Elephas maximus indicus: one gene and its partners. The protein of the gene in region 3 purifies or fractionates together with the protein of the main gene of each other region. This does not show direct contact. Links are inferred from orthologs where the notes say so. Each region holds a gene or a part of one and is shown on either strand. Other genes may lie near its edges.

Region 1 (7,126 bases), on a different chromosome or scaffold from region 3:
TCTCTTTCCTCTCTTCTTAAACTGTACATTTGAGAACGGTTCCAAAGGCGTTTTATAATCTTTGCCACTGTCCACAGGCAATGGTGCAGATGACTTTATCTTACACTCTTTCGTTGATTGAGTCCTCTCATTTGTAGGTGAAGTTTTTCTAAAATAATCCAGAATATTATTGGATTTTGGTGGAGAGAAAACTCTAACTCCAGTCTTCTCTATTGGTGATAAATATTTCGTAATTGTTTTAAAGGAAGATCCATCATCATCTTTCCTTCGCTTTTTGCATGGCTGTAGATTTAAAAGAAGGAAAAGAGGCACTTATTTCAAGAAAAATAATACAAAATATAAATTTAAGACACGGATCTAATATTTAAAGTAATCGGATAAAGAAAGGAAGGCTCCTTTATGTGACGAGCATGATATACTGGAAAGAATATGAACTTTAAAATTAAATCTATATTGAAATCTCAATGTCCCAATGATTTACCTTAAAACTTGTGTGCTTTACTGTATATATATAATTATAAACAAAAAACCAAGCAAGATACCATCAAGTTGATTCTGACTCACGAAGACTTCATGTGTTGCACAGTGGAAGTGTGCTCTATAGAGTTTCCAAGGCTATGACATTTTGGAAGCAGATCGCCAGGCCTCTCTTTCAAGCTGCCTCTGGGTGGGTTCGAAACTCCAATCTTTCAGTTAGTAGTCAAGCGCTTGGCCATTTGCACTGCCCAGGGACTCCTTATATATATTTGTTTACATTAAAAAATTGTTCACATTAAAAAAAATCCAAGCCTACTATACTTATGAGCAAATTCCTAATTCTTCTCAGTCTCTGTTTACTCTATAAACTTTAGATAGCACCTTCCACCTTAAAAATTGTACTGAACACATTACACAAAAATATGTAGTCTGACGATGGTAGGAACTCTACACATATTATATTCCCTTTTTATTATTTTTAGTTAAAAATAAGCACATTACCCTAACTATTGCTAAGAAACAGGGACATAGTCATCAAGCCTAGGATCCCAAAATTTACTAATCAAGTAGAAATTACAGTGCAAGTTCACCAAAAGAACACTTACAAGTCTAGTGTTTTAATTTGCTGTTAAAACCGTTGCTGCCTTTCTTTTACGTTAGTTATTACCTTTACAATATCAAGATGACTATAATGCTAGGCATGTTTAAATTTTTATTGGTTATAAGTCAGTAATTTACATAATAGAAAATAAATATTACCTTATTGGTTACAAAAAGCACCATCAGTCTTTCTTTTTTTTTAATTTTAACTTCCCTCAGTTCATTAGTTAGAATAAATTTAATAAAATAACAACGAAATCCTTTAAAAGGTAAGTAATGAATAGAGGAGTTAGGCTTCTAGAAAATTAAAATTATATAAAGCTATCATGATTTAAAGTGTAGTGCTGGAGCAGGAATAGGTAGGCAGGTCAATGGAATTGATTAGAACACCTGAAATAGACACAAGTATATATTTAAGAACTTAGAAAATAAAGTAGTGACAAAAGAAGGAGTATTTAATAAATGGTATTGAGACAACTTCTAACCATTTGGATAAATACGAGGCAAAATAAATTACGGAGGGATTAAATCTGTATATGTTAAAAAGAAATCATAAACATTTTAGAAGAAAATACTGATGAGTATTTACATAACCCTGAGATGGTATAAGAGGCACTATACTATATGCTCTGGAGTCAGGCAGATCTAAGTTTGAGTGCTGGCTCTGACATCTTCTAATGTGAGACCTTAAACAAACTAAACTTTTAAATCTTCTTCTCTCATCTGTAGAATAGAAATAATAATATTTCATTACAGGGTTGACGTTAAGCAAAATAATGTTTATAAAGCCTTTCCCTTTACCATACTTAACAGTGAATATCACTATTACGAAATAGGCTCTCTAAGCAGGCCACCAAGAGCAGAAACCATAACCCGAAGACTGATAAAAGTGACCACACAAAAAGCCAAGAACTGTGTAATTCAAGTATCAGAAGACCTTCTTCATACCTAGATAATCTGAGTAACTGCCTTGACCTAGCAAACAAGTATCCCCCTTAAATGAGTGTACATCTGGGTTCATTCAAGACACCAGAGCACATACTTCAGTTTGAATGCTAACACGAGATGAAAAGTTGTAAAGATGTAATGTCTGTCTTAAAATGCTGGCCTGCTACTTTCTGGTATTAGAATCTTCTTTCAAAATATGCTTGGAGCTCTGGTGCTGCATTGGTTAAGAGCTAGGCTGCTAATCAAAAGGTCGGCAGTTGGAATTCACCAGCGGCTTCTTGGAAACCCTATGGGGCAGTTCTACTCTGTCCTATAGGGTCACTATGAGTTGGGATCGACTAGACGGCAACAGGTTTGGTTTATAAAGAATGCTTAGAGTATTTCACTGAAACTTGACGAACAAACATCAGCACGGCACACTGGGTCTTCCAACTGCAGTATATTAAGATCTAGAGCCATGGGTAATAGATTTACCCTGCTTGATTCTGGCAGTGACACTGTAAGTGGCATTCCCAGAACAGGGAGGATAAAATAGGTGGACTTAAAGCTCTTTTTCAACTCAAATTCTAGGATTCCATATCATGAACCCAGAACCTGACCATGGGATCCTCCGTGACATCTCACAAGTCCAAAACATCACAGTCCACCAATATTTCAGAATCTGGGCACTGGCCATGGTATCTTAAGTCCTAACTTACTGCAATTCTCTAAACATCTCACAATACCAGGGTTTGTCGGAATTCATCACGACTCTAAGAACGACACACTCCAGCAACTGTTCCACACGATGTCATTCCTGGGGGGCCTCTCCGTGTTCCTCCTTTCCCCTCTGAGATGCAAAGTCGGGATTACCACCACCCGTTTTCCAACAGCCGGAGAACTCGACAGACACTCGATCTCACCTCAATCTCGTAGTCCTTGACTGGAGGGGGAGCAGCCGCCGCCGCCATGGCAAGGACCCCTACCATGTTCGCCGCTTCCCGGTGCCCCTGCTCCTAGGACCTTGCGCGGACCGGGTCGGCCAGCGTCTCGGCCATGGAGGCGGCCCGCTCCTGGAGGAGCGCGAAGTTGGGCCGCGGGGTCCGTCTCGGATTCCCCTGCGCCCACCGGCCCGGAGCGGGCTCGGAGGCCGGGCCCAGCTCAGCCAAGTCGAACGCGGGAAGGAGCGCTGAGAAAGCGCGGGCGGCGAGGCACTCGGGGCGCGGCCGGTAGGCGCGGGGTGACCCCTCCGGGCGGACGACCCAGGCCGAGTGCTCGGGACCGGAGCCGGGGCAGGGAAAGCAGACCGAACGCAGACCGGACCGGAGGGCTTCCCAAGAAGTTCTCGTCGATTGGGTTTTCGCGCCGTCCTGAGCGGAGGGGGCGGAGCTTAGGGTTGCTCTGGAAGCCTGCGCGGACGGTGAGCTGAATGGGCCAAAACACTGTCGTCGGCGAGTCGGCGGGAGGCAGGGTCATTGTATCACGGAATGTAAAGCCAGTGGGGAGTGTGCAAATTCTTCCTTCTGGTGTCCAGTAGCCCGGCTTCAGATGAGAATGTGGTTGAACGAAGGTACCTAGTCAGTTGGTGGCAGAATTAAAACCCTGAACTCTTGACCCGGACTAGCCCCTTCTTTAAATTGGAAATTTGAAAATTACAGAAAAAAAAAATTGATTATATTCCTACTACTCAGATAAAATGTTAATATTTTGGTATGCGTCCCACATCAGATATACTATTCTGGGCCCGACATTTCGACTTTATACCCCTAATTTGAAGAGGCGTTTCTTTCTGTGGATTTCGTCCTCGTGAGCAGTCCAGGAGCCCGAGCTCACCGCCTCAACTGGTTGACGTGTGTTCAGTGCTCGCAGGTACCAGTAGTTTGCTGGTTTGTAGTGATGGTAACCTAGTGCGTCATTTGCATTGTTTTCATGGACTTGTTTAGCCTTTACTTTTCTGTTATGTTAATGTTGAAGTGCCTACACATAGTGTATGTTCTACTCCGTCCTATGGGTCGCTATGAGTCGGAATGGACTCGAGGGCACTGGGTTGGGTTAGTGTATGTTTATTTCTTTTGAGAGGATAGTTTTAACTGCAAAATAAGTAAGAGCGGATACAAAGCAGGTAAAGGGACTTAACTAATAATGGGAAGCCACCTTGTTAGATCGGGTTATGCAAAGTGATTTTAAATACTGAAGTAATTGTACCCATCTTTATGGTTTTTGGTGCTGTCTTAGAGTGAGTTAGGAACCCTGGTGGCTGAGCCCACCAGTTGCTCAGCAGGAGAAAGATGTAGCACTCTGTTTCTGTAAAGATTTACAACCTTGGAAACCCTATGGGGGCGATTCTACTCTGTCTTGTAGGGTGGCTGTGAATTGAAATCCACTCCACAGCGGTGAGCTACAAACAAAGAAAACAAACTTGTTGCCCTCTACTCAATTCCGACTCATAGTGACCCTATAGGATGGAGTAGTATTGCCCCACAGTGTTTCCGAAGAGCAGCTGGTCGATTCAAACTACCATCCTTTTGGCTAGCATCCAGATGCTTAACCACTGCACCACCAGAGTTCCTACTTATAAGCACATATGCATTTTCCCCAATAAAATTAGTAAGAATTACTTTTCCCTTGAATATTAGTACCAAATAAGGTTTGTCAGGAGGGGAAGATTGTACTACTTTCAGTCTTCTGAGAATATACCGTTTTGTTGTTGTTTTTTTTTCTAATAACTCACGTAGTATAGATACATTGCCCTGAAAAAGGAGGAGGAGAAGAAGGAGAAAATGTGGAAGAGGAAGAAAAAGAAGACACACAAAAAAATTACAGAGCAAACTATAAATCTCTTTTGACTTGCACTCCCCAACTCGATCTCCTCCCCAGAGGTAATCACTCCTAGCTATTTGGTATGTAGCAATGTAATATTTTTTTTAATACTTACGTACAGGTATCCATAGGAAATCTTTAGCATGGTTTTTATTTATATAAATAGTATCACTGTAAATATTCCTCGGCAATTTGTTTTTTTCACACACCATTGTTTGAGAGCTATCTATGATGCATGTAGATCTAATTCATCTCCTTTCATTCGTAAGTATGCCATCCAATTATACACTACATTTTATCTGTTTCCTTAGTGATGAATATTTAGGTTGTGTCCAGTTTTCTGTTATTCAAACATTCTTGCCCATGTCTCCTTGAGTACGTGTAATGATTCTCTAGGATAGACATCTAGAAGTGAAGTTGGTGGGGTATAAAGTATGGGAATGGGAATTCCAGAACACTTAATTGTGCTCATGAGGAACCTTTACAGAGATCAAGAGGCAGTTGTTTGGACAGAACAAGGAGATACTGATTGGTTTAAAGTCAGGCAAGGTGTGCATCAGGGCTGTATTCTTTCACCATACCTATTCGATCTGTATGCTGAGCAAATAATACAAGAAACTGGACTATATGAAGAAGAATGGGGCATCAGGATTGGAGGAAGCCTCATTAACAACCTGCGTTATGCAGATGACACAATCTTCCTTGCTGAAAGTGAAGAGGACTTGAAGCACTTACTAATGAAGATCAAAGACCACAGCCTTCAGTATGGATTGCACCTCAACATAAAGAAAACAAAAATCCTCACAACTGGACCAATGAGCAACATCATGATAAACGGAGAAAAGATTGAAGTTGTCAGGGATTTCATTTTACTTGGATCTACAGTCAACAGCCATGGAAGCAGCAGTCAAGAAATCAAAAGACACATTGCATTGGGCAAATCTGCTGCAAAGGACCTCTGTAAAGTGTTGAAGAGCAAAGATGTCACCCTGAAGACTAAGGTGCGCCTGACCCAACCCATGGTATTTTCAATTGCATCATATGCATGTGAAAGCTGGACAGTGAATAAGGAAGACTGAAGAAGAGTTGACGCCTTTGAATTGTGGTGTTGGCAAAGAATATCGAATATATCAAGGACTGCCAAAAGAATGAACAAATCTGTCTTGGAAGAAGTACAACCAGAATGCTCATTAGAGGCAAGGATGGCGAGACTGTGTCTTCCATACTTTGGACATGTTGTCAGGAGGGATCAGTCCCTGGAGAATGACGTCATGCTTGGCAGAGTACAGGGTCAGCAGAAAACAGGAAGACCCTCAACGAGGTGGATTGACACAGTGGCTGCAACAATGAGCTCAAGCATAACAACAATTATAAGGATGGCTCAGGATGGGGCAGTGTTTTGTTCTGTTGTGCATAGGGTTGCTATGAGTCAGAACGAACTCGATGGCACCTAACAACAACAACAAGGTATGTCTCTAGTGCTTTTTTTTTTAATAATTTATTTTATTTTTGGTTCTTTGAGAATATTCATAGCAAAACATACACTTACTCAACAGTTTCTATATGTACAATTCAGTGACGTTGATTACATTCTTTCAGCTGTGCAACCGCTCTCATCCTCCTTTTCTGAGTTTTTCTTCCCCCATTAACACAAACTCATTGCCCCCTAATCTTCCTATCTGACCTTTCCAATTGCTGTTGTCAATTTGATCCCATATAGCTAGATCTGAAAAGAGCACAACGCTCAAGCAGACATTCTTTATTATTTAAGGTAAACTTCTGTTTGGTTTTTAGGGGCTAGTTTTGGTTTCGGTTTATGTTTCAAAGATTATCTCAGGACAATAGTTTCAGGGATTCATCCAGCCTCCGTGGCTCCAGAAAGTATGGATTCCATGAGAATTTGAAATTCTGTTCTACATTTCCCTCCTCTTGATCAGGAATCTTCTAAAGAACCTTTGATCAAGATGTTTAGTAATGGTAACCAGGCACCATCCAGTTCTTCTGGTTTCATGGCAGAGATGGCAGTTGTTCATTGAGGCAGTTAGCCACACATCCATTTCCTCCTTCTATTCCTGACTCTCCTTCTTCCTCTGTTGCTCCGTGCAAATAGAAAGCAACTGTGCCTTGGATCTCTGGCACTTTTTATTCTTCTGAATTATGAAGCATTTATACTGAGTTTATTTTTATAAATGTGGTTATTATTTTACATAACCCTTAATTAGGAGCTCCTGGCATTTATTAATTTTAAATTAAATGAATTGTCATGTTTCTATAGTCATTTAGAGTTTATAATATACTTAGA
Region 2 (7,004 bases), on a different chromosome or scaffold from region 3:
TTCACATTTGAGCTTTGTCAGGAAACTGAGGCATACCAAAAAGCCAAACCCTTTGCCATCAAGTCCTACTCATAGTGACCCTATAGGACAGACTAGAACTGCCCCATAGGGTTTCCAAGAAGCGCCTGGTGGGTTTGAACTGCTAACCTTTGGATTAGCAGCTGAACTCTTAACCACTACACCACCAGGGCTTCCGAACTGAGGCCTCGGGAGGAGAAGTGACTTGCCCAAGGTCACCCAGCTAATGGGTGGAGCAAGCACTCAAGGCAGGCCCTATGAGTCTCACAACTTTCCTCTTCTCCACTGGCTAAGTCACTTCCTTCTCCAGGTCTGTCTTCCTCATTACCCTGTGAAGAGAGTCAGTCAAAGGCCACTAAAGGCATCCTGGATTTGAGTTCTCCTGCATGTGAGTGTGTACTCACATGAACGCCTTTCTGGCATCTTAAGCTGATGCCCAGATCCCTGGCAGGGGAAGATGGATGGACGAAAGCCGTTGGGGCAGGGACCACTGATCACCACAGCACTGCCAAAGTGCAGGGCCTGGGCTCGCTTCTGCTCAGATGATCCCAGCCATAGAAATGCCACTTTCAGAGGCTGTCTCAAAGCTCCAGGGCTAGGAAGAAAAGCCAACCTTGGCACCCAGCCTGGGCCTGAGCCCTGGGTGCTGAGGGCTTGGAGCTTATCACAAATCAGGCCCCTCACTGCCTTTATCACCCGCCTCTGCAGTCACACCTGGTGTTTGAAACTAGCAAGCCTCCAGGCAGAGCACTAAAGGGACCCTCCCAGAGGGCCTCTATCAGGCCGGGGCAGGGGCGGGGGTGGGGCGTGGAAAAATAGGGAGGGGCTTTACTGGAGGAGGGCTGGGGGCAGTTCTTTGCCTATAGGAAGACTCAGGCTTTTTTGGCAAGGGCTGGTGGCACAGGCAGGCAGCCCTGGCGGCTGCAAGCAGTTTGAGCTGACTACTAACCTAAAGGTTGGTGGTCAGAACCCAACCAGTGGCTCGGGGCCAGTGCGGGGGCGGGGGGGTGGCGGGGAGCAAGGTGATCTTACTTCTGTAAAATTACAGCCAAGAAAATGCTATGAAGTAGTTATACTCTAACACATGGGGTGGCCATGAGTCGGAACTGACTCCACGGCACCAAGTTTGGTGGCACAGGTACCTCCTTCCCCACCCACCTTACCTGTCCACGTCACACAACAAGTAAGTGCTGGAGTCAGGATTTCAACCCTGGCAGTCTGGCTCCTGGGTCAGTCTTGGGTCTCACTCTGCCATCTGTCTGTGGGAAAAGGTAAGAAAGAACTTTCACCCAAACAGAGAAGACCACCAGGCAGCTTAGCCCTCAAGGCCTCCTCCATAAAGGACAATGTAAAGAGAAAGGACGGTTTAATTATCCTGGGGTGCTAAACTGGAGGAAATAGGTGAGGACTGCAGCATGAGAAATGAAAATTAGGTCTAAACCCTTCAGTTTGGATGGAAATCCTCCCAAATGAAGTTCCCCTCCCAGGAGATGAGATTACTGCCCCAGGCAGGTAGGGAGGAGATGGGGGAAGGTGACACCCCATTCTCCACCTATCTCACAGGCCAGCCAGTTTGGTGTCTGACCCTGGGAAAGCGTTTAGCATCGCTCAGAAAAGCTTCTTGGGGAATTCTGGCTGGGGGTGTTGCTAAACTATGAAATAATCATCCTACTCCTTTGCCTCAGTCACCCAAGCTCTGGGCCAGCTCCACCCTCTTGCATCCCAAAGCATTTAAAGGGGTTTCATCCTTGGAAGCCTCAGGATCCAGGCTTCCCAGTACTTCCAATTCATTCCAAGCTGTTGCTGGAAATGTGTTTTTTGTTGTTGTTGGTGGGGGGCGGGGGCCCAGAGTCTCTGGGCTTGTCTCTGAGAACCTTGGCAACTCCTCCCTCCCTCTGAAGGGCCAGGGGTGGGGTGGGGGGGGAGGGTGGTTGCTTCTCCACCTGGCCAGAGGCATGGGCACAGACCCCTTGGGCTGGGAACAGTTACCATGACTCACCACAAAGGGTGTGGTAGATTCTGGGCAGAACACCCAGGGGCCTGTGCCCTCCTCCAACTCACTCGAGAGCTTCTGAGGACACTCTGCCCAACCCCCCAAATCCCAACTGGTTGAGATCTCTCTCCTCCCCCAACTTCCAGAGCGGGTTTGAAGGGCCATGGGAGGGGGTTTCCAGCCCCAACCTTGAGGTTGGAAACCTAAGTCCCAAAGCTTGTTCCTATAAGAGGTCTTCTAAAAAGGGTTAAAAAGGAAGGGAGCCTGAGAGCTTCTTCACCCTGCCTATCCCGAAGTGCAAAATTGGGGAGGGGGCAGTTTCCTGGGCAGCCGAGCAAAGAAGAGGCAGATGACAATGGTAAGCCCGGGTTCATTTCCGGCTCTCCAGCTCAGAACCCAAGTCTTCCCTCCCCTTAGCACCAGCCTCAGGATCCAGCCCTGTGGTTCCTGGCCCCTCCCCATCCCAATATCCAGAGTTCCCAGGCGGCTTCCCGCACCCCACCCCCAATCCTGTACTGAGCTCCTTTGCACGTGCTAACGGGTTAATATCCCACAAAACCCACACACGCCCCTTCAGTGGTGGGGTGCTAAGAGTCCCTTCGCCAACCCTTCCAGACCAGGGGACAGAGAGTGGAAGATTGGGACGGGGAGGAAGAGGACGAAGAGGAAGAGGGCGGGGGAGAAGGCAAAGGCCGCAGGAAAGCCTGAGATGCAGGAAGCAGCTGGGGGGGCGGGAGGCTTTGTGCCTGAGTTGTTCTCTGGGTCCTAGGGTCCACTCCGTTCAGTCGTCTCTGGGATCTGGAGCAAAGCCGAGGCTCTGGGGTCTTGGTTTGGAGTGTACCTCTTCGCACACCTCCGTCCCCCGCCCGGGCAGCTGGGGAGGGGTGCAGGGCAGCCCTGGCCCCCTGTTGTGTGAGTGTTAGGGCGGGAGAGGGGTGTGGGCTGCGAGGGAACATCAAAATAGTTTTCTGGGTTGCCAGGACAGGGCATGTGTAGGTCATTGTGACCTCGTTGCCCCCCCCCCACCCCCACATGCACATAGTGGCCAGGACCCTCTAGATAAGAGACCCAAGTTAGAATTCTCGCTGGGTAAACCTTGGCCACAGGCCTCTAGAATTCCTCCTCCTCATCTCCCCCTTCCTGCTTGAGAGGCGAGTGCTCCTGTAGGGGTAGGAGGAAGGGGTTTGCGACCCCTCCGTTCCAGCCTGGGGTGCAGACAGGCTACCGGGACACCCTCTACAAACTTCCGAATGGCAAAGGGTAGCTTTCGGGATTTCCTGCCCTTCGGGTGATGGGGACCACCTTCTTTCTCCATTCCTTCTCCTCCTCCCTCCTAAGGCCAGCAACACTGTACCAAGGTTTCAGACATTACGGAGTGCCTAAGATTCCCCAGGAGGAAAAGTGGTAAAATGCAGAATCCCGGGCCGCTCTCTGAGCTTCTGATTCACAAAGTTTGAGGGAGGGCCCAGAATCTGTGTTTTTACCAAGCCCCAGTGATTTTGATAATGACAGCTTTGAACAACACTAGCGAGCCTTAAGGACCTGGAAGAAAATGATCCTTTGCCCCTTCCTACCTATCCCCCTTCACGTTGGGGTGGAGAGGGGCCCCACTAAAACCACTGTGGTTGGTCTGCCCTACCCCCAATATTTAATGGGGGTGCGGTTATGTGGGTTGTGATAAACCGCAGCCAGAGGCTGGGATGGAAGGGTCGCAGAGGATTGAGCAAGGCCTGAGGGCAGCGGAAGGCTTTCGGCGAGGGACCGGCAGGGGAGGGGATTTATTTGGGTGTAGGGGAAGGGGTGGGCTCACAGACTCTGGCCCCGGAAATCCGATCCCTCTAGGACCCAGAGGTGCCAGTCCCCCAGCGGCGGCGGCGAGAAGGGCAGCCGCTCGGTCTCCGGCAGCCGCCGCTCGGGCACAGCGAGAGAAAGACCGGAGCTCGGGGCGCGGGGGGGAGGGAGGGAGGGAGGGAGGCGCGGCGGCGGAGCGGCCCCGGCCGGCGGAGCAGCCATGGGCGCCGGGGTGCCCGGCCCCCGGAGAGCCGAGGCCCCCGGCAGGGGTGGGGGACGCCCGGGCTGCCAGCCCCGCTGACACCGCCTCGGAGGATGTGAGCCGGCGCCGCCGCCGCTGCTGCTTGGACAGGGCGCGCCGTCCCACCGGCCTGGCCGCCGCTTTTCTATTTTAGGTGGGGGCGACCGTACCAGGCCGCTTGGGCTTTTTAAGAGGGTCTGACTGTCTTTGGCAGCTTGATTTGGGAAGGCTACCCACACAGGACGCCCGGGGATTTTTTCCTTTTTTTTTTTTTTTCCTTAAACAGGGTTAACTGTTTTTGGCAGCTTGGTTTTTGGGGGAGCCTAGAAAAGGCCTCTCAGGGTTTCTTTTCGGGGGGAGGGGGACAGTGGTCCCGACTTGGCCACCCGCCTGTTGGCGGGGGAGAACGGGGAGCAGGGGGATGCGAACCCGGCTCCCCCCACCATGATGAAGACAGAGCCGCGGGGGCCCGGGGGTCCCCTCCGGAGCGCCTCCCCGCACCGTAGCGCCTACGAGGCGGGCATCCAGGCGCTGAAGCCGCCCGACGCGCCCGGGCCGGACGAGGCACCTAAGGCAGCCCACCACAAGAAATATGGCTCCAACGTCCACCGCATCAAAAGTATGTTCCTGCAGATGGGCACGACGGCCGGGCCGCCGGGCGAGGCGGGCGGCGGCGCGGGCCCGACCGAGGCCCCGCGGGCGCCCGAGCGCGGCGTTCGCCTGTCGCTGCCGCGGGCCAGCAGCCTGAACGAGAACGTGGACCACAGCGCCCTGCTCAAGCTGGGCACCAGCGTGTCGGAGCGCGTGAGCCGCTTCGACTCTAAGCCCGCGCCCTCGGCGCAGCCGGCGCCGCCGCCGCATCCGCCCTCCCGGCTGCAGGAGACGCGGAAGCTGTTCGAACGGAGCGTCCCCGCGGCCGCGGGCGGCGACAAGGAGGCCGCGGCGCGGCGGCTGCTGAGGCAGGAGCGCGCCGGCCTGCAGGATCGGAAGCTGGACGTAGTGGTGCGCTTCAACGGCAGTACCGAGGCGCTGGACAAGCTGGACGCCGACGCTGTGTCGCCGACGGTCAGCCAGCTCAGCGCCGTCTTTGAGAAGGCCGACCTGAGGACCGGCCTCCACCGTGGGCCCGGGCCCCCCAGGGCCGCGGCCGCCGGGGCTCCGCAGGTCAACTCGAAGCTGGTCAGTAAGCGTTCCCGGGTGTTCCAGCCACCGCCGCCACCGCCCGCCCCGTCGGGGGATGCCCCGGCCGAGAAGGAGCGCGGCCCCGGAGGGCAGCAGCCCCCGCAACACCGAGTCGCCCCCGCCCGGCCGCCCCCCAAGCCCCGGGAGGTGCGCAAGATTAAGCCGGTGGAGGTGGAGGAGAGCGGGGAGTCGGAGGCCGAGGCGGCGCCCGGGGAAGTGATCCAGGCCGAGGTGACGGTCCATGCGGCCCTGGAGAATGGGAGCACCGTGGCAACCACAGCCAGCCCCGCGCCCGAGGAGCAGAAGGCCCAAGCGGCCCCCGACGAGGCGCCGGCGTCGGCGGCTGTGGCTGTGGCTGTGACAGATAAGGGGGTCGGCAATGGCCGGGCCCCAGACTTGGCCCCTGAGGAGGCGGATGAGTCCAAGAAGGAGGACTTCTCCGAAGCCGACTTGGTGGACGTGAGCGCTTACAGCGGGCTTGGGGAGGACTCTGGGGGCAGTGCCCTGGAGGAAGAGGACGAAGAGGACGAGGAGGATGGGGAGCCCCCCTACGAGCCCGAGTCGGGATGTGTGGAGATCCCGGGGCTCTCGGAGGAAGAGGACCCGGCCCCGAGCCGGAAGATCCATTTCAGCACGGCGCCCATCCAAGTGAGTGAGCGCCCCCAACCCCCGGCCACCCCTGCGCCGCCCCTGCCACGTGCGCGCCGACGCCCCCACCCGGCCGGCCTGGTTTGGCAGGCTGAGTCAGCCCCTGCCACCCAGCCCCCTTCCCAGAAGTTGCCACCCTGAGGGGGGCGTGGGGGAGTTCCAGCTGTTTGTCAGAGGGGGATGATTTCCAGGCCTGGGAAGGGGGTGGCCTGCCCCGACCTGCCCTCAGGTGCCCCACCCGTCCTGCCCTATGCGGGTGCTGAGACACCTGCTTTGCCTTTTCTCCCAGACCTTCCTTCCTCCAGGGGCTGGGGCTGGGGCTGCCAGGGGCAGAGGCTTGGCTGGTGGAAAGGCATACGTGTGTCCTCAGGAGAACCCTCCCCCCCCCCCCCCCCGCATTTGTCCTACCCTACTCTGGGCGCGAGGGGGCCGGGGGAGCTTGGAAACACTCCTTCGTTTCCCCCACAGACAGGAGCTGGATAGGGTGAGGGGGGCTGAACAGAGGCAGGAGAGAGAAGGAAGGGGAGCTGGGAACTTCCCAGAACGAATGAAGGGGCAGGACACTGCAGCCCTTCCTCCATCGTGCCTGTAGCCCCCACCCCAACTTTGCAGAAGTGAAAGGGGGAAGCAGGTCTGTCAGGGTGCACTGAACTGGGACCGTGTGACTGGGGGTGGGGGAAAGGCTTAGGCTGGGACTCAGTCACCTGGGGGTCAGTGCTATTTCAAGCTACCAAGGTCCAGTTCCACAGGGAGGGGCACTTTGTGTGACCTGCTAAAGGGACTAGGCCATCTCTAGGGTGTGAAAGAGGAGGAGGTGGGGAAGAGGATGGGGTGGGGAGTCCCATACAGGTCTGAGGGCACCCAGCAGTGGCTGGCATGCCTTTGGTCATGGCTTCTCAACAGGACAAACTCCCCTGGCCTTGGCTAAGGCAGGCCTTGAGTGTTCTTGCCACATTCCCTGGGTGTCCTGAAGGAGGGGTTGAGCTGCCTGCCCCTTTTGAGCTCCTGTTGGCTCCCAGCACCACTATTGGTGATTGGTTTGTGGGCTGTGCCAGTGCTTGGAGATCTTCAGAACAGCACCAAGGGGGAGGAGTGTGTGCAACATTCCCTGGGGAGAACTAAGAACCCCGG
Region 3 (6,904 bases):
AACAACCAAATCGGCTGCCACTGAGACGATTCCAGGTGTTTTAGGGCGGAATCACTTTCTGTAGGATTTTCAGTGGCTGTGACCTTTCAGAAGTAGACCACCAGGACATTCTTCCAAGGTGCCCCGGGGGGGTTCTAACTGCCAACCTTCCTTAGTAGCCCAGTACTAAACCTTCTGCACCACACAGAGACTCCGTTTCCTGTCCTACCCGTAATCACACAATCCAATCCCCCAGTGGTAACTGACAGTCAGTATCCTTCCAGGCTTTTAAAATGCAGTATTTCCTTTGTGGAAATGGGTTCGTACTATACTGACTTGCTTTTTTGACTTCTGGGCACCTTTCCTTCTTAATAGGTACATACCTAGCTTATCTCTTCAACAGCTGTGTCTTGACATGTTACCATAATCTGTCAATTCTCCACTGATGGACACTTAAATTTTTTTCACTTTCTCACACTGATAAGATTCCTACAATAAACACCCTTGCACAAGTAGAGAAAGGTATACACACATGTATCTCTGCAGAAGAGGTTTTCAGAAGAGAAATTACTGGGCAATGGTAACGTACATTTATAACTCTGACGCAGAATAGCAGGCACGATGGCTCCATTTATAGTGAAAAATCCTGTATGTCAGGTACACAAAGAGGTAAAGAACAGTGATTCTCAATCAGGGTAATTTGGACTGCCAGGGGACATCTGAAAATGTCTGGAGACATTTTTGGTTGTCCCAAGTGTGGGGGTGCTACTAGCATTGCGCAGAGGCCAAGGATGATGGTAAATATCCTACAACGTACAGGACAGTTTCCCACTACAAAAAAGGATCCGGCCCAAGATGTCAGTAATACTCATGCTGAGAAATCCTAGTTTAGAATCATATATCGCATTACTCATGGTAGCTTTCTTTGAGTGGAGGGCAGCTATCGTTTATACCTTTTTTATTATTTGTAGGTTTCTTGCAATGCACGTGCACTAGTTTTAAAAACACTTCTCAGAACAAACAAAAATTCTCTCTCAGGTAGAGATAAAATATCAATCTCTGTGGCTTCTCACACTGCTTTTATACATTGTGGACAAGCTCTGAAAGCAGCTGACAAGGCCCCCGAATCTTCTCTTCTGCAGGCTAATCTTAGTTTCAAGTCAGTTCACCAATCTGGTTACTATACTTATTGAGAACAAGGTGCTCAATTCTCAGCCCCAAACGCTAGGTCTGTACTCTGACAAGCAGTCTGGAACTATCACCTCCCTCATTCTACCTGTGTGGGCTCACACTGGGATTAAAACAGTTTTCCACCTGTACGGCAGTTAACTTAAGTCTTTCACATCTTGACTTTCACAGTTGCCTCCTACATCTAAACGAAGGGCACTAAGAGGCCTCTTTAACAACCCTTACTCCCCTATGGAGTGTACCATTCCAGTATCTGGAAGAGCACCACCATCTATTGGTTCCTCCAGTCGTCAAGCCTTTCTCTCCATTCCAAACCCAAACCAAACCCAGTGCCATCGAGTCGATTCCGACTCATAGCGACCCTATAGGACAAAGTAGAATTGCCCCATAGAGTTTCCAAGGAGTGCCTGGCAGATTTGAATTGCCAGCCCTTTGGTTAGCAGCCATAGCACTTAACCACTACGCCACCAGGGTTTCCTTCTCTTGATTAGTGTTGCCTAAATACTTAACCACCTAGATTCCCTGGGAAAAATCATCTGGTCAATTACATACCACGACTTCAGGCTGTCCAGTTGCAACACAATTAAGTTACAATTCTGGGTTACATTTTAGTTGGGAGGAGACAGTGTCACCACCTACGATCACCTTACACCGTGATTTCAGGGGATTTAGATTCTTAGTAATTTCACTCAATTCAACAAATATCCAATGAGTACTTTAGACACCGTCCTGATCAAAGAGATCAATAAAACAAAGAGTGGAACTGCCTCAGAAAACTTTATGCCTCACACCCTTTTCCTGGGGTTACCTTACTGCAGGCACCTTTTGTCCTGACTATTAAACACCCACTGATTTCAACCTGCAGAACGACATATCATGGTGGGTTTTGTCAAGAAAGCCTGGGTCTTACTCCTACATTTTCTCAAACCTTTGCATACTTCTGAATTCAAATTAAGTGCTGGACAAATAGTTAACGTACCATGTCGCCACTACTGCATACACTATACCTGCAGGCAAACACCTGAAATAGGTCTTCTATTATTCCCTGCATTGCTGGAAAAAATAGCAAGAACTCTTACGCTTACCCAAAATAAAAACGAATTCACGAAGGCATAAAGCATACGCAGAATGATTAGATAATTCTTTCACCTTGGATAATAAATCATAAAAATAGAAAAGAAAGATTCAGGGATGTACGATGAAGATGAAGAAACGCTGAAAACGAAATTAAACCGGCATTTCCCCACCAACACCCGGCCGGCCGCTGCCCCTCACTGGGAAGCGAGCTCCGGCAGCAGAGGTGGCGGGGCTCCCCGTGCGGACCCCACCGCGGAAGCCGGGGTCGTCGGCGCCCCGCCGCCCGTCACGCCCCGCCGGGTCCCCGCGCTCGCCGCCCGCCCGCCCACCGGGAAGCCCCGCAGGCCTCGGCCAGAGCGCCTCGGGGAAGGCAGGGCAGGGGAGGCGGCTGGCCAGGGGACGCGCCCACCGCCTCGCGGGCCCGATCCTCCGGGAGAAGGGGCGACCGGCCGCCCCGGGTTCCAGGGCGCGCGCCCCGGGGGCCCCGAGTCTGCGTCCGCGCCGCCCCCGCCCCTTCCTCAAGCCGTTAGCGCCGCGGCCCCACCTCTCACCGCCGCTCGCCCGGGCCCGCGCGCCCCGCCCCGCTCCCCGCCGGCCGCGGCCTGAGGCATCTGCTGGCGGGAGGCGGCCCCGGGCCGGGCAGTCGGGTCCGAGAGGCCGAGGACCCGGGCTCCCATACCTGCACTTTCCGCCGCCCGGCCGTGTTCTGCCGGTGATGGGCCGCCATCTTGCATGTTGACACTCCGACGTCACTTCCGGAAATGGCGCGGGCCGAGCGGATGTCCTGCCCCTTCCCCTCGGGCGGGGGTTGGTGGCGGCGGCTGTGCGTGCGGCGGCGGCGGCCGTGCGTGCGGCGGCGGCTGTGCGTGAGGCGGCGGCGGAAGGGCGCGCGGCGGCGGCGGCCGTGCGTGCGGCGGCGGCGGCCGTGCGTGCGGCGGCGGCGGCCGTGCGTGCGGCGGCGGCGGCCGTGCGTGCGGCGGCGGCGGCCGTGCGTGCGGCGGCGGCGGCCGTGCGTGCGGCGGCGGCGGCCGTGCGTGCGGCGGCGGCGGCCGTGCGTGCGGCGGCGGCGGCCGTGCGTGCGGCGGCGGCGGCGGCGGCGGCCGTGCGTGAGGCGGCGGCGGCCGTGCGTGAGGCGGCGGCGGCGGCTCCGCGCCGTGGCCGGGCTCGGGGCGCGCGGCGGTCTCGTGGAAGCAGAGCCTTCCTGTGGGCACAGCGCCGGCGGAGGACCACCCGCTTCTCCGAGCCGAGGCAGCAAGCGCATTCCGCCGTGGGGCCCCACACCCCGGCTTGCACGCTCCCTGGGGCGGTCCTCGGGCAGAGCGCTGAGGCCAGGTAGGGGGCGAGACTCCTCGGCAGCCAGGGAGCCGACTGCTTGGCCGCGAAGGAGGCACCTAGACGTTCGCAGAACAACGACCTGGCCTGGGAGGAGAGAAGCGGCCGCCCTTGGGAAGGAGGCAGGCCGGTCTTCAGGCGAACAGGCGTCCCGTCCCACAAAGGAGAGAAAAGGCGCCCCAGGGACGTCTGCAGAGCCCGAGGGAGCCGGGGCCGGCTCTGGAACCTCGTCCCGGTCACCTCTTCTGGGTCAAAGTGTAGCTTCAGGTCTTCCGGACACCGATGACAGGTGCCGAGGGTGGCGGAGCTCTCTCTCGGAAAGTGGACCCCGTGGAACTGCTCCGTCCACTGAGTTCCGTGCGGGCTCCGCCAGGCGCGTGTGGCCAGCTCACTGAGACGTGATGTAACTCAAGTACACACTCAATTTTGAAGACAATGCAAAAGAAGAATGTGAAATACCTCTTTCATAATTTTTTATATTGATCACGTGTTGAAATATTAATTTCTATATATTGGGTTAAATAGCATGTGTTACTAAAATTTTTTACATTTGTAAATGTGACTATTGGGTCGCTATGAGTCGGAATTGACTGAATGGCGGTGTTTTTTTTTTAATTTTTTGACTAGAGTGTTTAAAATAACACGTGGCTCATGTTATATTTTTGTTGCAGAACCTGTTGCCATTGAGTCTGTTCTCATAGTGGCTCTATAGACAGGGTAGAACTGCCCTATGAGGTTTCCAAGGCTGTAATATTGGACTAAGTGACCCCATCAGGCAGCATGTCTTAATGTTTACTTTGCCTGGAAGGCGAGACGGCCTTCATGGTCAGTTCAGGTTCAGAGGCTAAATTGGCCAGTTGTTCAAGAACAGGGTAGAAGTGCCCATAGGGTTTTTAAGGCTGTAGTCTTTATGGTCCCTGGAGCTGCTGGTGGCTTTGAACTGCTGACTTTTCAGTAAACAGTCAAATGCTTAATCACTGTGCCACCAGGACTTCTTCTCTATTGCATAGTGCTAATGTATAAATAATGCTTAGGGAACCTCCTGGCAAATGCCTTTTTAAAAAATCGGTAAAGAAATCTGAATTAGAGGAGCAGAAACTGATGACAGAAAGCCTGTTAGGCAAAATTGGCGGTGATAACTTGTAGATAAATTACATGGACTGCATTTTATTACAGACTCATTGATTCATTTATCCATGTATACATTCAAAACATTTATTAGCATCTATTAAGTGCCCAGCCCTGTATTTGGTGCTGGGGGTTCAGTGGTGAGTGCACATTAGCCATAGGACTTAGAGTTCCATGGTGAGACAGGGATTAATTAAACAAACGTATAAATGAATGTGGAGATAAGTACTGAAGAAAGAGCTGTACAGCAGGAAGGGATCCTTGAGCCAGGATCTAAAGGCTGTAGTTCACTAGACAAGGAGAGGGAACAGTCTGAGCAAAGATCTTGTGGCAGAAGGGAGCATGGAACATTTCAAGAACTAAAGGCCAAGTCTTGGAGTACAGAGAGCAACCAAGGGGAAAAAACAAAAACACCCAAACCCTTACTACTTGGAGTTGATTCAAACTTACAGTGACCCCATGTGTGTCAGAGTAGAACTGCTCTCGGTAGGGTTTTCAATGGCTGTAATTTTATGGAGTAGATTGCCAGGCCTTCACTCTGTGGTTGCTGGGCAGATCAAAGAGGAGCACAGAGACCACACCCAGCAGGGTCTTCTAAGCCAATGGGAAGCTGTTGAAAGGACTTAAGAGGGGAGGGACATGATCTGCATTTTTTTTTCTTAATAAAAATGTATTGAGTAGCCATGATATGCCAGGCACTGTGCAGGTACATTACTCTCCACAACGTGCTGGTACCTGTTGGAAATGGATTCCTGTGTTGTTGTAGCCCCCCCGCCCCGCCCCTTGGGGCTGGCCCTGAAGAACACTGAAGTTGTAAAATTGTTTTAATGGGCAGAATGTCCAGGAGTGTATCTTGATGTTCACTTTGCCTGGAAGGAGAGATGGCCTTGGGTAGTAATTCACAGTCAATTCATGGACAGAGGCTAAATCATTTGGCCAGCTGTTCAAGGACACGGAAGAACAAGCATGACAAACTGGTGACAAGGAAGACTTGGGAAAGTATATGGTAACTGGCCTCTTAGAATGAACCTTAAGAGCTGTACAGATGAAACAAACTGCTCTGAGGATGAAACTTGGCTTCCTTCAGGATCAGTGCTTACTCAGTGGAATCATGAACAAAATGGCGATGCTATCAGGACTGAAAGCTATGCATGGGATCATCAAGCCATTGCTGAGTGTTCAAGTTGCCAACAGCAGTGACCAGTCCCGAGTTGCTGGTTTACCCCATAGCCTTGAAGGGTGAGCCAGCCACTCGGGGGGCAAGTTGATTCCATTGGCCCTCCCTCATCATTGAGGAAGTAGCTATCTGTCCTCTCCAGGTGACACTTAACTCTAGATTTTTCCATTGGCCCTCTATCATTGTTGAGGAAGTAGCTATCTGTCCGCTCTGAGTGACGCTTACGCTAGATTTTGATTTCCTTCCCATGCTCCCTGTACTTCTAGCAGCACCTGAAATACATCTACTTAACACTGAGATGTGCTGTAACTGTAAAATACTCCTGAATGTTGAAGACTTAGTATAAAAATAAGAATGTAACATGTCGATAATCTTTATATTGATTACATGTTAAAATGACAACATTTTCTATTTATTGGGCTCTGTATCGCCATCTGGGTGTTTACTAAATGATTTATACACTGTCATAATATCTGATATATTGCATCTGACCGAGAAATTCACTCTACGGTGAAAGAAGTAATGCAATGGACTCTTGCCCATGCGATTCTTTGGTCTGATTATGTGCTCTATCACCCACGTGTCTGTCAGTTTGTCATACTGTGGGGGCTTGTGTGTTGCTGTGACACTGGAAGTTATGCCCCTGGTATTCAGATACTAGCAGGGTCACTCGTGGAGGACAGGTTTCAGCTGAGCTTCCAGCTTAAGACACTACGAAGAAGGACCTGGCAGTCTACTTCTGAAAACCATTAGCCAGTGAAAACCTTATGAATAGCAGCAGAACATTGTCTGATACAGTGCTGGAAGATGAGCCCCCCAGGTTGGAAGGCACTCAAAAGATGACTGGGGAAGAGCTGCCTCCTCAAAGTAGAGTCAGCCTTAATGACGTGGATGGAATAAAGCTTTCGGGACCTTCATATGCTGATGTGGCAAGACTCAAAATGAGAAGAAACAGCTGCAAACATTCATTAATAATCAGAACCTGGAATGTACGAAGTATGAATCTAGGAAAATTGGAAATTG
Region 4 (7,699 bases), on a different chromosome or scaffold from region 3:
CTCATGAGTTTGGGAGTGGGGAGAATCACTGATGAGAGAATTGCTCAGAAAGTCCTGAAGTTTAAAACGCTTTTGACCAGCTTTGGCTTGGGAAGGTGGGGCTGCTCCTAGAACTGGATGTGAATAACTCTTTGCAAGCAATAGCAGTAAGTAGGTTCCATCTACAGGTTCCAGGATGTGGAACACAAACAGAAAAAAAATGCTGAAGCAGCTTGCACAGCTGCTTCACAAACTTCTGCAAGGCCAATCCTGGCTTCAAGATGGAGCATTCGAGGTTTATTTTTGCTTGTTTCTTGTTCTTTTTTTTTTTTTTTTTAAGAGCCTTCTGTTGAGCTGTGTGCGTGTGTGTGTGTGTGTGTGTGTGTGTGTGTGTTTCTTTTCTATTTGGGGGCCTCATGGGAAGGAGCTTCTGAGTTCTTCCTTCTGAACTCTCACTATGTTCCCTTTAAGTTCCTTTTCTTTTATGATGTTGTAAGTTACATTGAGCCCCATCACATCTTCTTTACTGTAAAAATATTAAAAGGCTGTTTCCAAGTGGGACGGCTAACGAAGTTCTAATTATTGCAGACATATTTTTGAGATGTAAAAAAAAATTTAAATGATAAGTCTTGGAGGCGAGTGAGGAATAAAATGGATGTAAACATTTACATGGGATGCATTAGAATTCTGCTGTGTGTATTGTCTTTTGGTTGAAACAAATTATGAACAGTGACTAATAATAAAAAGTCAATACTCAATGATTTAAAATCTGCTTCCTTCTTCAAGTAAGTTAGAAGCCTTGGGTGAATTCTTATTCCAGAGCTTTGAGCTAAACTTAGTGACCTGGTACTGTTTCTTTTATAATCAGAAATCTCACCAGGAGAGGAATTTGAACAATTTTAAAACTACTAGGTATTAGTAATGAAAAAGTCTTAAGTTCAGTTGGAAATTTCAACCATAACATGATTAATTACATGCTCATCTTCTCCACATATGTGAATTCTCAAGGCAAAAAAAAAAAAAAGGTGAAATGTGTATTAGGGGTGGTCATGGGTTTTAATCGTATGTTTCTATTTGTGAATTATTCAGGTTTATTTGTGACCAGGAAGAGGAGGGCCGGATCAGCCAAAATGAGTTTTTATTTTATGGTCTATTTTATATGAACTCTTTTCTGTAGAAGTGAGAGTGGTTGGAGGTTGGAAGCTTCAGATTTTCTATTACTCTGATGAGTCTATTATTCTGATTCCCTTGATTGGGAAGGGGAAGGGCGTAGGCCTTGGCAATTACCTAGTTTGTGCAGAAGTGCCCTTTGGAACTATTTGATAAGCAATATTTCTATAGTCTTTCCTTTTATATGGTTTAAATTCATCCTTGTTTTTAATATTAAACTTAATACCTTCATCTACATGTAATTAGATGAAAATACAAAAGCTACAGTAGAAAAGCCTAGCCAGTAATGGACTCCAGAAATTTACTCAGCAATGCAATGAACAATATTTAGATTTGAACCTCAGCCCTGAAAAGCCGAATTCATTTCTATTCCATAGTTTTCCACAGTTCAGTTGTCCCTATTTTTGAAAAATACAGAAATGTTCATAGGGTAAATTTTCTTCAAACCCTGAAGCCAGGTAAACGCTGCCTGTTTGTCTGAACTAAAATAAGACTAAATTTGTTCAACCTGTGGTAGAATAAGGAATTCAGGCAAAAGTTGACGTTGTGATCATAAAAAGAGTGGGAGCTAGATACAGCTAAGTGATTGTAGTATCATATGGCTTCTCTACCAGAATCTGATAGACAAGAAAGACAAGAACTTTCTTTTTCCAGATTTTCTTCCCATTTTGCAGTGAAGATTAGGAAAAGCTCTGGGGTGGGTAGGTGTGTGTGTGTGTGTGTGTGTGTGTGTGTGTGTGTCCTGAGATGATGAGAGCGCACAGCTGCTGCAGGAAGGACACAGAGCAGGGAGGACTTCTAATGACTGCTCTGCTTCTTGGCTTGATCCAAACTGATTTTTGTAATGATGAACCTGCAGTGAGGGCAGATGGATTTTTGCACAAAAAAATCCCAGATGAATTTATTTTTAGGGTTAGTCTCAGCTGTTCACCATTTCCAGAAATTGTAGTTACATAACCCTTGGCAGTCATAATGCACACTGCCTTGAACTGAAAGACACATGAATATGTGACCTTAGCAGCAAAGTATGAAATGTTAATGGTAATATATGACTTGAAAAGAAAACTCTATATCAACTGGTTGTCACTACTGAACTGGAAATCTGGATCTTAAATCATGGGGACCTTTAAAGGGAGCGGCATTATATACATCATCCCCTGAAACATCCTGCTGGTGGCCTTTTTTTTTTTTTTCTTTTGGAAGAGGTATTACTCTGAATTAATCCTTTAGCCCACTATCCCGTCAATGAGAAAACAAGTCAAAGCAAAAAAACCCAACCATTTACCAGTGCTATTCCCCAGCAGGAATTCAAATTCTGGTCCTGGGACAAGATCTTTTCCCTTCAGGTGATCAAACAATAAAGAATTTGTGCCCATGAGATGTGGAAAAGGTAATATGTAACAATATCTCCAGAAACAGGCTTTTAGAAACATTTATTCTGAACACATTTTTATTCTAACTGCTGCCTTTGCCCCTTGGTCAGATTACTTCTGTGTCTATACTGGTGCCTATTCCTTATACACCAGTATTCTTGCCGGAAGAATTAAGCACTAAGAGGGGTATGTGACTAGTCTGAGTAGCTTTCTTGAAAGCAAGTTAACAGTAGACAGGGGTGGGTGGTGGTGGTGGTGGTGGTGAGCCAGCAAGTCAACAATACAAGAACTTTCTTCGCTTTTCACCAGGCTCTCAGAGATGAATTTTAATTAATTAAAATGAGACAAAACAAATGAAGCTTAATGGTGATTTGAATTTTGGTATATTCAAAATGAAGAGAAATTAGTCACCATCCTTTTACAGAAGTAATAATTGGTACAGGGTCAGAGTCTTTGCAAGAGCCAAATTTTGTTTTGGAATTTAAAATATCTCCAAATATCACATAGTAGAGAAGGAAACAATGCACTGTTAGATTTCAGCCTTTCTTGTATTAGGCTTAAAATTAAAATATTTTAGATGGTTGGCCTGAACTAGGCAAGGTGAAGCAACGGATAATAGGTAATGCCATCTTTGCCATGTATTCAAAGTTCAAGACATTATTGGTTTTCTGCTGTTAAATTCCTTACAAGTTCTTTGAAGATTCATGGATACCTGTGTAAGAGGGGAAGGTCTAAATATCTAAGAAGTCCAGAAGGCATCCTAGGAAAAAATTTTTTTTTATAATTTATTTTTGTTCTTGAGAATATACACAACAAAGCATACACCAACAGTTTCTACATGTATAATTCAGTGACATTGATAGCATTCTTCAAGTTGTGCAACCATTCTCACCCTCCTTTTCTGAGTTGTTCCTCTGTTAACATAAACTCACTGCCCCATAAGGCTCCTATCTAAACTTTCAAGTTGTTGTTTCAATTTGATCCCATATAAAGAGGTCTTAAAAGAGCATAATGCTCAAGGCATTCTTTACTAGTTAAGCTAAACTATTGTTTTAAGAAGATTCCAGGGAATATTTTTGGCTTAAAGATTATCTTAGGACAATGGTTTTGGGGGTTTATCCAGCCTCCATGGCTCCAGAAAGTCTGGATTCTGTGAGACATCCTAGAAAAATTTAAGAGGAACAAGAAGAGTGCTTTTTGAAAAATCTAGTGAATCTTAAATTTGGAAATTCAGAATTAGAATGGCTACTATAAATTTCGATTTCGACTCATAGCTGGGGTCTGGGTTTTTTACTATAAATTTCGACTATATGTTTAGTGCTTTGTAAGCATTATTCATTAAGTCGTCATAATAACTATCAAGCAGATATTCATCTGTATTTCACAGCTTAAGAACCAGAAACTTAGATCAAGTAACTTACACAAGGGTATAGCTCAAATAAGTGATAGAGCTGAGATTTGAAATCAGGCTGATTCCACATTTGGCCCATTGGTCACAAAACTATCATCACTGTAGGAACTAAAACAAAACGATAACTTTTAAAGATTTTCCGACTTAGCATTGTAAATAATCAATGGCTCACAGACTGTATTACTCTTTGAGGGAGAGAACAGACTTCTGGTAATTTTGCTACAAGAGGAGGAAAGGGAATTTAGATATTGCTGGAAGATGAGTGAACACATTATTTTGGGTCGAATTTGCTGACGAAGGTCGTAAGCCATCTCCAGTAAGGAAGAGAAAGGGCCTCGTTAAGGTATTTTCAACAGTTCTTCCAAGGGCTTTGCAAGTGAGGGTGACAGGCCGGTTTTAAACTAGAAAGGAAACGTTTTAGAGAGCTAACTTACAGGAGCCACCCTCGGCGGACTGCAGCGTCCAGTGACAACTGACAGGTGCAGGCACTAAGGAGGCGGGGATAGCTGTAAATAGCCCTTCCTGCGCCTCAGTCCTCCAAACCCAGCGCGGCCCGCTGCAGAGGCTCAACCCTGCGGCGGCGCCGTACTCCGCCCGCCGAGCCCTCGGCCGGCGGCTCCGCCACACCGGGGCCACCCGGGGCCCGCAGCTACGCAGGTCCGGCGGGGCTGCGGGAGGGGGCGGGACCAGGGGCGGGGTCAGGGCGGGACCGCGGCTCACGGGGGCGGGGCCTCCGCTGCTCGCGCGCGCCGCTGAGGCCCGGCGCGCCGTCGGCCCCGCCGGGCGTCCCTGTGTGGTCTCTGCTGCTGATGGGGGAGGTGGAGCCGGCGCCCGCGGGCCCGCTGGAGCCCCTGGAGCCGCCCGAAGCGCCCGTGAGCCGCTGGCCGGGAGGAATTCGGGTCCTGAAGGTGAGGCGGGCGAGCCGAGGGGGGAGTGAGGGAAGGAGGAGGCCGCCCCCGCCCGGCGCGAAGGCCGAGGCAGCTGGCCACCCCCGCCCGCGGCAGTCAGTCAGCTTGGCGGTCGGCCGCCCCTCAGCCGGCCGCGGCCACAGTGGTCCCCGCCGAGGCCTCCGCGCGGCGCCCGCGCCCGCGCCCGCGCCCCCGCCCCCGCCCGCGCCCGCGCCCGCGCCCCCGCCCAGGCCTCGGCCGCCTCGGTCCTCGGCGCTGCCCATCCCTGGCCCCGCGCCACCCGCCTCGCAGGCCCCCGCCTCGCAGGCCCCCGCCTCCGCTGGCTGTCTGCTGGGCCGCCGTCGCCCACCGGCCTCTGTGGGGCCCCGGGCCGGCCCTGCCTCCCTCGGCCGCCTCGCCGCTGGCCCGAGCGCGGGGCTGGAAGCACGCAGGGCTCTCTCCCCAGACACCTGAAGACATCACCCCAGCGGGAGGATGGCGGCGATGATTGGCCGCGCGCTGCGGTGTGCTCGGGGCTGCGCGGGGCGGAGCGGGTAGACTCTGCCCTCGGGGTTCACAAGTGAAGTTGCCACCCGGCTCCTCGCTCTGTAGACGTCGGCGAGGAAGTACGACCCGCCTCGTCTGGGGAGGAAACCTACGGAGGAGCTTAATTAGGGGGAATCGCTGGGCGTGCTGCGGGAGGAAGGAGGGGCTGGACCTAAAGGGGGCATTCCTGATTGCAGGAGTGGGGCTAGCGATCCGGGGAGACTGTGATGGGGGAGCAGTTATGCAACAGGCAGCAAGCGGGGCTTTTTGGCAGGAATTAGGGGAGTAGGAGGAAATGAAAGCAGATGCAGGCAAGTGGAGCCTTGGAGGTGATGACAAGAAGTTTAAGTGCATATGGAATGTAGGGTGGGGAGGGGCAGTGAAGATGCTTAGAAGGAGGGATTGTGTAGGCTCAGGGGAGTCTTCTACTAGCCTTTGAAATAGTTGGAGAGAAACTTTCTGTATGTCAAATAAGTCAATTAGATGTCCTTCTGGAGGTGGAATGGAATTCATTCTGGAGTTCTAGAAGAGAAGTCGATAGGATTTGAAACTTGCCAGGGAGAAGGAAGAGAGAAAAGAAAATTTACAAGATTTGTTGTGTCAAAAATACCTTGCAAAAGAATTAAAGTATACAATGTTAAAAATGCATTAAGTCATAGTAGTTAATTGGGATTGAGTTTGAGCAGTATGCACTTGTTATTAACATTATTAGTAGGCCATCGCAAAGATGGATTAGAAGGATCTAATGAATCCATGAAACAACATAAACTAGAACTCTGTAAAATATTTAAAAAAGAAAAAAATTCTGCCACTACCTCTCACTCTTAATGCAGGGACTTAAAGTAATAACCTTTCATAGATTATCTCCAATTTTTGCATGACCCTTCTATATATTTATTATAATTTATATAACCATAGGTTGTAAATGTAATTACCCAGAGGTTTTTGGATATTTATTTAAAACTGAAATCACAAAAATGTAAATTGTGAATTAACTCTATTAAAAAATGTTTTTTAACTTCACTCGGCTTATCGGGAAATTGCAGGTCTGAGAGATAGGCAATGCCTTCTGGCCTAGAAGGTAAACACCCTTGCTTTTTTTTTTTTTAATAACTTTTTTGGGGGGTGGGGGATGGGGTGAGTTGTGAGAGGGAAGGAACTGAGAAATGAGAACCTTTATTGAAGACAGTCTAACCCTTCTTCCCTGAGATTCCAATCAGGGGACCATTAGAAAGATTCCAGAAACTGATGGTAATTACAATACTGAGATGGTGTGGGAGGCAGAGTCTTTAAGACCTTTGCATCCTTACTTTATTACATATAAAAAGACCAAACCCCTTGCTGTCAAGTCAATTCTGACTCATAGCAACTCCATAGGACAGAGTGGAACTGCCCGATAGAGTTTCTAAGGCAGTATGTGATCTTTAAGGAAGCAGATTGCCACATCTTTCTCCTGCAGCTGACCTTTTGGTTAGCAGCCGAGCCTTAACCACTGTACCACCAGGGCTCATTTATTGCATATAGTCAACAGTTTAAATAATCCTTGCAAATAATTGGCCCCTTATGGAGGATAGGTGGTATATGTTCTACAACAAAATTTCCCTTCAGTAACCAAGTGGTTGAATTTTGTGCCTAGTGAAACTGGAAAAGAATATTTAAGTAGAAGACTTCTAATTGGGAAGAAAGTCATAATTTCCCACATGTTCACTAAGGACCCTTTGAAAACAGCTTTTCAGTCTGTTTTGTAACTTTTTTACATTTAACAGATCGTGAACATCATTATTGTCAAATTATATATGTAGATCTTCATAAAAAGGCGAATATAACTAAAGTCAGACTATATCTAGGTGCATCTATGTGGGGTATAGGAAAATTTGATTCACAGTCTGTCCCCAGATTTCATTTAGAAAATTGCTATTTAGAATGTATTCTTTTACAGTTATAGTTGGAGTATAAGTATGATATTTTTAATACTCTTAAAAATATTAAGAGTACCTTTGAATTTTTAAAATATTCCAGATGTTTCCTATGATTTTAGGATTATGTTTTATTTAATTTACTCAGTCTATAGAAGCTGTGAAGTTACAACTGATTACTGGTAGTCAGTAAATGCCCTGAAATTTGTTTTTTCAATAATTTAAATTTTTTGTAAGAATAAGTGTGCGTGGTTTTAAAAAATCAATACCAAAAAGATTTTAAGTACTGAAATATTGTTCTCTCCCCATCCCAGCCAACTCTTCTTAGCCCATTCCAAAATATTCTTTAACATGTATATTCCCAGAGATGAACCCATCTTGTTTTAAAAGTTTCAAATGGAGGAACATATCTCTTCC

What was found.
Region 1: the proteins of WDR48 (region 3) and ATAD5 purify together in Homo sapiens (affinity purification with western blotting; 3 studies listed by BioGRID). This does not show direct contact. The link is inferred for Elephas maximus indicus from reciprocal best matches to the Homo sapiens genes WDR48 and ATAD5.
Region 2: the proteins of WDR48 (region 3) and PPP1R9B purify together in Homo sapiens (affinity purification with mass spectrometry; 3 studies listed by BioGRID and IntAct, with this or other methods). This does not show direct contact. The link is inferred for Elephas maximus indicus from reciprocal best matches to the Homo sapiens genes WDR48 and PPP1R9B.
Region 4: the proteins of WDR48 (region 3) and PHLPP2 purify together in Homo sapiens (affinity purification with mass spectrometry; 5 studies listed by BioGRID and IntAct, with this or other methods). This does not show direct contact. The link is inferred for Elephas maximus indicus from reciprocal best matches to the Homo sapiens genes WDR48 and PHLPP2.

The regions. Positions count from the first base shown.
Region 1 is NC_064837.1:26,696,700-26,703,825, reverse strand, and holds the start of ATAD5 (ATPase family AAA domain-containing protein 5), read right to left. Parts: upstream 3,013-7,126; 5' UTR 2,994-3,012; coding exon 2,928-2,993; intron 283-2,927; coding exon 1-282. UniProt on the Homo sapiens protein: Has an important role in DNA replication and in maintaining genome integrity during replication stress.
Region 2 is NC_064837.1:43,471,323-43,478,326, forward strand, and holds the start of PPP1R9B (neurabin-2), read left to right. Parts: upstream 1-3,993; 5' UTR 3,994-4,487; coding exon 4,488-5,873; intron 5,874-7,004. UniProt on the Homo sapiens protein: Seems to act as a scaffold protein in multiple signaling pathways. Modulates excitatory synaptic transmission and dendritic spine morphology. Binds to actin filaments (F-actin) and shows cross-linking activity. Binds along the sides of the F-actin.
Region 3 is NC_064845.1:1,148,756-1,155,659, forward strand, and holds the start of WDR48 (WD repeat-containing protein 48), read right to left. Parts: upstream 3,017-6,904; 5' UTR 2,972-3,016; coding exon of another isoform or gene 2,924-2,971; intron 1-2,923. UniProt on the Homo sapiens protein: Regulator of deubiquitinating complexes, which acts as a strong activator of USP1, USP12 and USP46. Enhances the USP1-mediated deubiquitination of FANCD2; USP1 being almost inactive by itself.
Region 4 is NC_064839.1:38,713,112-38,720,810, forward strand, and holds the start of PHLPP2 (PH domain leucine-rich repeat-containing protein phosphatase 2), read left to right. Parts: upstream 1-4,687; 5' UTR 4,688-4,742; coding exon 4,743-4,841; intron 4,842-7,699. UniProt on the Homo sapiens protein: Protein phosphatase involved in regulation of Akt and PKC signaling.